2 linked regions of the Arabidopsis thaliana genome follow. The protein of the gene in region 2 interacts with the protein of the main gene of each other region in a pairwise test. Each region holds a gene or a part of one and is shown on either strand. Other genes may lie near its edges.

The links.
Region 1: the proteins of AT4G18220 (region 2) and FLA2 interact in a protein complementation assay, tested with the Arabidopsis thaliana proteins (one large-scale study listed by BioGRID).

What each region holds. Positions count from the first base shown.
Region 1 is NC_003075.7:7,489,916-7,495,497, reverse strand, and holds FLA2 (FASCICLIN-like arabinogalactan 2), read left to right. Parts: upstream 1-2,417; 5' UTR 2,418-2,688; coding exon 2,689-3,900; 3' UTR 3,901-4,271; downstream 4,272-5,582. Other genes in the region: AT4G12740 (HhH-GPD base excision DNA repair family protein), read left to right, coding at 1-428, 505-920; AT4G12735 (uncharacterized protein), read left to right, coding at 1,313-1,495; AT4G12731 (uncharacterized protein), read left to right, coding at 2,138-2,320. UniProt on the Arabidopsis thaliana protein: May be a cell surface adhesion protein.
Region 2 is NC_003075.7:10,076,283-10,081,718, forward strand, and holds AT4G18220 (Drug/metabolite transporter superfamily protein), read left to right. Parts: upstream 1-2,355; 5' UTR 2,356-2,445; coding exon of another isoform or gene 2,446-2,485; coding exon 2,486-2,516; coding exon of another isoform or gene 2,517-2,562; intron 2,563-2,685; coding exon 2,686-3,827; 3' UTR 3,828-4,080; downstream 4,081-5,436. Other genes in the region: PUP10 (purine permease 10), read left to right, coding at 72-1,213; AT4G18230 (UDP-N-acetylglucosamine transferase subunit ALG14-like protein), read right to left, coding at 4,239-4,415, 4,593-4,652, 4,752-4,895, 5,014-5,153, 5,248-5,428.

The sequences.
Region 1 (5,582 bases), 2.6 Mb from region 2:
TTGTCCTGTTTCCAGCCAATGTCGTGCATTTTCACTTTCCGAGGAAAACAGAACGATTTCCGTGACAGATTATCCTACAAAAGTAATCAAGGCCAAGCCAAGGCACGACTTTTGTTGCGTTTGTGTTTTGGAGATACATAATCTGGAGAGGAACCAATCAGGAGGTAGATTTGTTCTTGTAAAAAGACCCGAACAAGGTCTGCTTGCTGGTCTTTGGGAGTTCCCATCTGTTATATTAAATGAGGAAGCTGATTCGGCAACAAGGAGGAACGCAATAAACGTCTACCTTAAGGAAGCATTTCGTTTTCATGTAGAACTCAAGAAAGCATGCACTATAGTTTCAAGAGAAGAACTCGGAGAATTCGTCCACATATTCACTCACATTCGTCGAAAAGTTTATGTGGAGCTATTAGTTGTACAACTTACAGGTTTGACCACTATCTATCTCTTTCTTTCTAGGTCTCTTTTTTACATATAGTTAGAGAAACTAACAAGAAGTTACAGGCGGAACCGAAGATCTGTTCAAAGGTCAGGCAAAGGACACTCTAACATGGAAGTGTGTGAGCAGTGATGTTCTTTCTACCTTGGGACTGACATCAGCTGTTAGAAAGGTACCTCCTTTTCGTCTTCAACATATTAAAAGACTATCCTTGGATGTGATGGTTGAGAAGGAACAAATTTTGGAGTGCAGGTGTATTCAATGGTTGAAGCACACAAGCAAGGCTTATCTGTTTCTCATGTCTCATCAAATAGAACAGCCATATCGAGGAAACGAAAATTCTCATGATCTCCTTCTCACACTTTTCTTCATGTTGCTTAGCTTCTATAGTTCTTGTCTAGCATTGGGAATCAAATTTGGTGATCTTGGTTTGAAATTGAACAGCTTAGTTTCTACTGAGAAAAGTGACGGTGATGTGTGATCCCTCCAGAGTCCAGGGGTTGATTATGTATTTTGGGCTAACAAATATTAAAAAAATGGATTGTTAAGGCCCAACTTAAGCCCAGAAATAAATTCAGTCAGTGGATTCATATAATCGCGTGGACTCTTTCTTCCAAATGATTTACATAAAGAGTCAAAAGTCCTTGAACTTCACGTACGAAGACTTGTCAAAAGGCATAATTAAAACGGACAACGAAACTATTCACTTATTAAGCTTGGCCGCCAAGTTATAATGTCACTTTCCAAAAAAGAGACGTGTACAAAGAAGATTCAGTGACTTTCTTCACCATCCCCTTATATATACATTATCTGACATGTATAGTAAGCTCAAATTAACTTAAGAACTCACACTTAAGTTTTAAACCTCCAAGGATGTCTCTCTTCACGCTCTTCTTCGCTTGCTTTGTTCCAAAATCTGGTTCAAGGATTAACACAACCGACAGTAATTTGGAAGTCTTGTCTTTGAAGAAACCCAAAAGAAAAACCGAGTCCATAAGAACTCCTACTATCGTCGTCTCTTATTTTCCCGTAGGCTCCAACCTTTCTCGTCTATAGGAACTAGGAAGTAGGAAGGATAAAAGTGAAATTCTGTAGTTATGATCACAACCAAGAAAATATATGAGGCTGATACTATTGATCCAGTCCAATCTTGTTTATCTATGTAATAGACCAATGAAAGATTCTGCTTGTGGTCGACACTTTTTTGTAATGATGATTTTGTTTTGGGTAAGTTTATGTATATACAGTGGCACAGAGACAGAATAACTATTTATTGATATAAATATTATTTTTTAGTCAAAACTTTCTTACTTAATTGAAAATGAAATAAAATATTTAGCAGCAAATTATATCTTATAAACTCACATGCTTACTCATATCTTGTAATCGTTTTATCATTTGCTTCGTTTTATGCAGTGTTAATAACATTTGCAACGGCAAATCGTCTTTTGAGTAAAACATGTATTGATTCTAACGATTATAGTACAAACAGAAAATATGTTTACTCAATTGCTATATCAGGGTCAGTTGCGGAGTGGTTTGTTTAAAAACCACTCTACCACTATAAATATTTGTAAAATGATGTCATTAATTTTTTTTATAATTATGCTTTACAAGCTTTAGTTTTGGACCGGCCTGACTTTAGGCCAAGATTCAAATTAATAGAAAACCTCGCACTTAAGTTTTACAACTCCAAACATGTCTCTCTTCACACCCTTCTTGGCTTGCTTTGTCCAAAAATCTGATTCACGGGTTAACACAACCGACGCTAACTTGAAAATCTTGCCTTTCAAGAAACCGAAAAGCAAAACCAAGTCTCCAAGAGCTCCCACGATCGTCGTCTCTTACTTTCCAATAGGATCCAACCTTTCCCGTTTATAGAAATACGAAGATGAAAGTTAAATTTTGTAGGTATTTAAATTATACCTAAAATTGGTAAAAATAAAAATATACTATACTGTTACAGTTAAATTTTGGTCATGTCTACGTATGTACCTAGAGCCGAATAAAATATTGAACCGGGCCTTAATATTTCCTAAACACTAATGTGTTTCTCTCGTCGACACTTACTTTCAAATGTGACCCAGACTCAAGCTATGTAGAGCCCACTTACCTGCTGCTGCGCTGGAAATATGCGAGACAGCTTTGTTCATATAATCTATTTTATATATCTTTCATTATTATAAGACTCCTCTCCAAATGCTACCACACAATTCCTCTATCAAAGCCGCCCAATCCTCCACCCAAAAATGGCTTATCTCCGGCGAGCAGCCACCGCATTGGTTCTCATTTTCCAGCTCCATCTCTTTCTCTCTCTCTCAAATGCACATAACATAACCCGAATCTTGGCCAAAGACCCTGATTTCTCCACTTTCAACCACTATCTCTCAGCGACTCATCTCGCCGACGAGATCAACCGCCGGCAAACAATCACCGTCTTGGCCGTCGATAACTCAGCAATGTCCTCCATCCTCTCTAACGGATACTCACTCTACCAAATCCGCAACATTCTCTCTCTCCACGTCCTGGTCGATTACTTCGGCACCAAGAAACTTCACCAGATCACCGACGGCTCCACCTCCACTGCCTCCATGTTTCAATCCACCGGATCCGCCACCGGAACTTCTGGATACATCAACATCACCGATATAAAAGGCGGTAAAGTCGCTTTTGGTGTCCAAGACGACGATAGCAAGCTCACAGCTCACTACGTCAAATCCGTCTTTGAAAAGCCTTACAACATCTCTGTTCTTCACATCAGCCAAGTCTTAACCTCGCCGGAAGCAGAAGCTCCCACGGCGAGTCCCAGCGACCTCATCCTCACCACAATCCTCGAAAAACAAGGGTGCAAAGCTTTCTCCGACATCTTGAAGTCAACCGGCGCCGACAAAACGTTCCAAGATACCGTAGACGGAGGCTTAACGGTGTTCTGTCCCTCCGACAGCGCTGTCGGTAAGTTCATGCCGAAATTCAAATCCCTTTCTCCGGCGAACAAGACTGCGTTAGTGCTTTACCACGGCATGCCGGTTTACCAGTCGTTACAAATGCTTAGATCAGGTAACGGCGCCGTTAACACGTTAGCGACGGAAGGTAACAACAAGTTTGATTTCACCGTTCAAAATGACGGAGAAGACGTGACGCTGGAGACGGACGTTGTGACGGCGAAGGTAATGGGGACGTTAAAGGATCAAGAGCCATTGATAGTTTACAAGATCGATAAAGTGTTGTTGCCTAGAGAAATCTACAAGGCCGTTAAGACGTCCGCTCCAGCTCCTAAGTCGAGTAAGAAAAAGCCTAAGAACGCGGAGGCTGACGCCGACGGACCTAGCGCCGATGCTCCGTCAGATGATGATGTTGAGGTGGCTGACGATAAAAACGGCGCCGTATCAGCGATGATTACTCGAACAAGTAATGTCGTAACGGCCATTGTCGGGCTCTGTTTCGGAGTTTGGCTTATGTGAAGTGACGTGGCATTTACCTCGCTTTGGGAATCTTGTTTTCCTTTTTCTTTGTGATCTGTCGGTTTAATTTATTTTACATATTCTTTTTTTTGTTCACGTTGATACTTGGTGTGGAGATTTGGAATAATTAATTGTTCCACTTGTGTTGGATCTGATATGTTTTATTCTAAAAAAATGTGATGATCATTCAAAAGAGTGATTGGTACGTTGGAATCACGTGTATCTATAAAGATAGTGTCGGTGGTAGTCGAAATAGTGTGAGGCTGTGAGCTGTAAGATGCATGTTACATCCTTTGTGGTCGCTTGGATTTGACCCATGATGATGCTCCATCGTAACTACACTAATATGAAATATAGTATACTTTCAATTACAGAGGAAATCAGAATAGGGACAAAGATTATAATACGAGATAAAATGAGTGTTAGTTCAAACTTCCGATTATAATGTCGTAATATCTTTTAACCATATGTGTTGCATTGCACATAGTAATAAGGGCTTTAAGAGGGATTAAATGTTTTTCTATCTCTAGGTTGGGCATCTCCAACAAAAATTGTATTATCAGCTCCTACCTAATGTGGTGATATTCTTATTAGATATACTAGATCTTTCTTGTTCCATCAATCCATAATTAATAGTGTTTTGGACATGTAAGTTTAGTTAATCTCTAATCCGGTTTACAAATTGCGGTTTAGGTGTAATTAAAAAAAACAATCATGATTTAACTTATTAAATAAAAATCGGATGTATTTAAGAAATTTAGTGTGAGATAAAAATTGATTTTGTTAGTACCTACTTGTAAGAAATGTAATTATTTTATAACAAATGTAATTATTTTGAAGGATACTAAAATAGACATTTTATTGCTTTAAGTAATGTGCAAAACTTCAAAACATTTAATGCCACAACTATTGAACGAAGCTTTATTCACCCTTCTATTCACCTCCTTTTGCATTAACCAATAAAAACATGTCATGTCAAATCTTACTTAAATTACATAATAAATTAAAGCTATAATTATAAATCTAAACCGATATATAATCTCGTTTAATTACAAAATCTAAACCCTAATTCTCCTTTGTAAACCCAAACCTTCATTTAAACTCATTTAATCGTAAGAAAAAACTAAACCCTAATCGTATTTTCAAAACCCAAACCGACATTTAACCTCGTTTAATTGTAAAATCTAAATCTGTTTATAAACCTAAACCAATATTTAATTGGTTAATTGTAAAATCTAAACCCTAATCGTACTTTCTAAACCCAAACCGATATTTAACCTCGTTTAATCATAAAATCTAAACCCTAACCTTTTCTAATAAATCCAAACCGATACATAATTTCGTTTTAGTGGCAAATTAGATTTTATAATAAAATTAAATTCTTTTTATTATTGTTAAATGTCAGATTTTAATTGATTAAAATAGAAGAGGTGAATATAAGGGGGTGAAGGGTGAACCCAAGTATTTTTAGCAACTATTCCATTTTAAATTTTGATGTTTCCATGTTACAATAAATTTTCTATTTCTGGAAAAATAAATACACTATAATTTTAATATGGGGCCTATAAAGTTTTTTTGGGGCTAAAGCCCATATATGCCTTATCTTTTTCACGTTAGGCACACAGTACAAACGAGTCGCAAAAATTGGTGTACATATACAAAGTAATGTGAACCTTTTTAAT
Region 2 (5,436 bases):
TTATAATTCAATATATGAAACGATCGACAACAAATAAACTAATTTTTGCGTTATTTTCACTCACTTACCAGTTCGGCAGGGAAAAGAACCAAATCCAACAGTTCAAGATGAAAGAAATTCAGTCAGTAGCAGCCAAGCAGAAGTATCTCACTCTAACACATACAAACGGTGGCTCAGGGTGACTTTATATACATTCTTTGTCATTTCAGGCCAAACAGTTGCTACAATTTTGGGCAGAGTATACTATGACAACGGAGGAAACAGTAAATGGCTAGCAACGGTAGTTCAACTTGTTGGCTTTCCTGTGCTACTTCCATATTATATCTTGTCATTTAAAACACATGCAACAACTGATAGAGATGGAAAAAGAACCTCACCTAGGAACCGTGTATTGGTTTACGTAGTGCTTGGACTTCTTGTAGGAGCAGATTGCTATCTGTACTCCATTGGACTTCTTTACTTACCCGTTTCTACCTATTCCCTGATCTGTGCATCTCAGTTAGCCTTCAATGCTTTCTTCTCTTATTTTCTTAACTCACAAAAACTTACCCCTATCATTTTAAATTCTCTTTTCCTCCTAACTATATCTTCCACCCTACTTGCATTCAATAATGAGGAGACAGACTCCACAAAAGTTACAAAAGGAGAGTATGTCAAAGGTTTCATATGCACCGTTGCTGCGTCTGCTGGTTATGGTCTAGTCTTATCCCTACAACAGCTAGCCTTTCTAAAAGTCCTAAAGAAGCAAAATTTCTCAGAAGTTATGGATATGATAATCTACGTGAGTCTAGTGGCCAGTTGTGTTAGCGTGGTGGGGCTTTTTGCTAGCAGTGAGTGGAAAACTTTGAGCAGTGAAATGGATAACTACAAACATGGGAAGGTATCCTACATTATGAACCTAGTGTGGACAGCTGTTACCTGGCAGGTATTCTCCATCGGTGGCACAGGACTGATCTTCGAGCTCTCCTCTCTATTCTCAAATGCAATAAGCGTTTTGGGACTCCCAGTGGTTCCTATCTTGGCTGTAATCATTTTCCATGACAAAATGAATGGGTTAAAGGTGATTTCTATGATCCTAGCTATTTGGGGTTTCACTTCCTATGTCTACCAACAATATCTTGATGACAAAAACTTGAAGAAAAATCATGAAATCACAACAACAGAATCCCCTGACCCACCAGAAGCAGAAGAGTCAACTTGGCAATCAAAATAAGCTGATATTTTGAAAGATGCTGTCCCGCAGTTTACAGACTCAATCAATCTAGTTAAGTAAACTTACTTTACTTATCGGCCTGGAGGCATCCTACATTGAAGAATACACAATACATTTTTGATGCAACTAATGTAAAGTCTCAGCTTGAAATTTTTTGCATCATTGTAACAGGAAGTAGATTTCATTTAAATAAGTAGTGAATGACTTTGGTTTAGTTTCAATTACGATTACCCAAATTACATTGTAATCTCAGTGAACCAACAATCTTAAGTTTAGAACAGCTGATTACAAAAGTTCATCGTTTAAACTTGGGTTCATAGCAGCTAAAGATTAAATGTAACTCAACCCTGTATGTAACAAGAACCTGTAGGCAGATTGATAAAAGTAGATATTTATTTAATAAAAAACCATGTCAATTTTGTGAGTGTGACACCTGATAAAAATTAACCCTTAGCCATAACTTAAAAAGATTTCAATGCACTATTCCACTTTCTAGTTTTACCTGAAACATTGTGAAACAAGGACACACAGAAAATCATTTCTAATGAAGAAAGAAGAAATATTAATCAGACAGGTCCAAACATCCTTGGTGAAACAGAGCTTTGTACAAAAAGTAAATGACCAGAAATAATACCATTTGGCAGTCTCCATCTTAGCAGTTAATAAAGTGACTTCCTCTGCCATCCAATATTGTGGTGCAAATGTCTTCTTTTGAAAAGAGAAGCGAGACATCATCTCCATAAATGTGTTTCTAATCCACATGCCTGATCTCATAAGAGAAAGATAGTCAGACGGAACAAGCCAAAGAAATTAAAGAAGACGAATAACTTTCAAAATAGACATCCTGACGGTCATACAATCTTACAACTTGTGTGCATGCGTGTTAAGTTTGTGTCTATGCATATGGCTGATGTGTCACACAGGTATAAAATACTGAGTGACTAATGGCTACACATCATTTCCTTCTTGATTTGACTCGACTCATCTCTAGATCAACAATAGTGACAAAAGAAATTAAATTCACAGCAAGAGAAGATATACAGTTGGCATTTACTGAATGTGGGGACAAGTACAATCAAAACATAGACGATGACCGATTCCTAATCTCTAAATATATAGCTACAGCGTGTCTCACCCATATCACAGAAGCAATCACTTGGTAGCACTAGTAACCAAGCAATTTGATAATAAGATACCTAATACTTAGAATCTATTCAGAACATTGTTAGTACCTCCTTGTCCATCTCGAAGGAGGGGGATTCCACATCTACTATGAAGGGGGATCAAGAAGTACAAGTCATTGGTGAGTAAGCATAAACCAGTTCCTCGAGAACCTACTGGTCTTTTATCTTCAAATAAAAGACGAAAAATATGGTTATGGTATCTTATTATTCAATATATCAATATTTTTCATGTGTGACAACAAATAAGTCATAATCTAATTTCTTGCGTTATTTTCCATCACTCACCAGTTCAGCAGGGAAAAGAACCAATTCCAACAGATCAAGACGAAAGAAGTTCGGTCAGTGGCAGCCAAACAAAACTATCTCACTCTAATACATACAAACGGTGGCTCCGGGTTGCTATCTATACATTCTTTGTCATTTCAGGCCAATCAGTTGCTACAATTCTGGGCAGACTATACTATGAAAATGGAGGAAACAGCAAATGGCTAGCAACGGTAGTTCAGCTTGTAGGCTTTCCTATTCTACTTCCATATCATCTCTTGTCAGTCAAAACACATACAACAACTCAGAGAGATGGCAAATTAACCTCACTTAGGAACCGTGCATTAGTTTACATAGTGCTTGGACTTCTTGTAGGAGCAGCTTGCTACCTATATTCCATTGGACTGCTTTACCTACCTGTTTCTACCCTTTCCCTGATCTGTGCATCACAGTTAGCCTTCACCGCTTTCTTCTCTTATTTACTCAACTCACAAAAACTTACTCCTATCATTTTGAATTCTCTTTTCCTCCTCACTATATCTTCCACCCTCCTTGCATTTAATAACGAGGAATCAGATTCCAAAAAAGTTACAAAAGGAGAGTATGTCAAAGGTTTCGTATGCACCGTTGGTGCATCTGCTGGGTTTGGTCTACTCTTATCCCTACAACAGCTAGCCTTTCGTAAAGTTTTAAAGAAGCAAACTTTCTCAGAAGTTATAAATATGATAATCTACATGAGTCTAGTGGCCAGTTGTGTTAGCGTGGTGGGGCTTTTTGCTAGTAGCGAGTGGAAAACTTTGAGCAGTGAAATGGAAAACTACAAACTTGGGAAGGTATCCTATGTCATGAACCTAGTGTGGACAGCTGTTACCTGGCAGGTATTCTCCATCGGTTGCACAGGACTGATCTTCGAGCTTTCCTCCCTATTCTCAAATGCAATAAGCGCTTTGGGACTCCCCGTGGTTCCTATCCTGGCTGTCATCATTTTCCATGACAAAATGAACGGCTTAAAGGTGATTTCTATGATTCTAGCTATTTGGGGTTTCGTATCCTATGTCTACCAACAATATCTTGATGAAACAAACTTGAAGAAAAGTAATGAAATACCAACAACAGAATCCCCTGACCGACCAGAAGCAGAAGGGTCAAGTGAGCAATCAAAATAAGCTGTTACTTCAAAGATTGTGGCACACACAGTTTACAGACTAAAGCGAGCTGATCAAGTAAACTTACTTTTCTTTATTGGTATGAAGGCAGCCTACAATGAAAAATAAACATAATAGATTTGTGATGCGACTCAAGTGAAGTCACAGCCTGAAAATGTGTGCATCATTGTAACATGAAGTATATTTTATTTAAATATATGTTGTGCACGATTCTGGTTTAGTTTGGAATAAGATGACCAAAATCACATTATAAGCTCACTGAAATAGCATTAAGTCATTAACAAAGTCAAAACAGCTGATTACAAAAATTCATTGTTTAAAACTCAATCCTGCATATAAAGAGAAGGTGTACACTATGTAGCTTTCTAAGTTTTTGTAATATATCTAGGTGTAAGTAGAGTTCCAATCAGCTTACATCAGGCACCCAACATAGTGAGCCCGAGGATACTTCTTATGCAGTTGTGGCCATTGAACAAAGAATTGATCAGCTATTCTCAACTTGTAAAGCAACAATCCACTTAATGAGAGCTTTTTCACTCTTGCTACACTCTCAACATAAAAGATTGATGACCATCTAATTCCCAGCACCTGTAACCCAAGATGAAACAAGCACTTATGGGAATTCTAGATGTAATGGAGAAACCATGACTAAGAATAAACAAAACACATCCTCTGTTTTTGGTCACAAGTCCATTCAAGGTCATCCAAAATGTAGAGGAAAGAACTGCAAAGAATCTTGATAAAATATTTCCGAAGTGTGTATACCTTGAATAAAAAGGCGATCACACACAGAGGAATACAGGTCCCAGGACCATTGCAAAGAATCTGAAAAACTTCAACCAAATCTAATCAATAACCTGATTCAAATGGTTTAATAAAGAACCCTTGAAGAAAGTCTAAAAAGCATTCAGATAAAAATCATACCACTTGTGGTCTGATCCGGATCATTAGCCACAGAGCGTGAAGAATAGCAACAATGGTAGTCCAAACAGAAGTCACATAAGACTGACCAACTTCACGACTCCGGTAAATTTGCATGAACTGTGATGATGCTTCCTTAACAGCAGGCTATGCCACAGTCATACCAAGCAAAAAACACACAAGAAATAAGTAATAAGCAATAGCAAAATTCAAAGAGGAGGGACAAAACTCAAACGAAATTGAATTTAAGGATTTTTAACTAAACCTTCTCAGCTAGAGAATCTTCAAAACTACGAGCTTTCTGGAGACTCATGTTATCTGTAGCAGCAGCAATGTAAAACCTTGGTGTAAATCTATCCTTCCGCAAAACAGAGAGGAGACTCAACATCTCTGCTGTGTGTCCCCCTGGTGATTAACAAAAACCCCACAATAACATATCATAATATGCAGCACATTACTTAGATCCAATTGAAGAAGACACTGCATTAACTCTTCTTACCAGAACCAAGAACAATAAGAGTAGTAAAAGACTGTGAAGCTCCTTTTGGAAGTGGTTTGCCACATCGGTATATAACATACAGTACACGAACCATTAGAAGAACGATCGCCAAAATAATCAATAAACCAATGCTGAATTTTGAGGCCATCCTTGAGTAAACACAGTTGCAACCTTCCTCCATGATCGTAC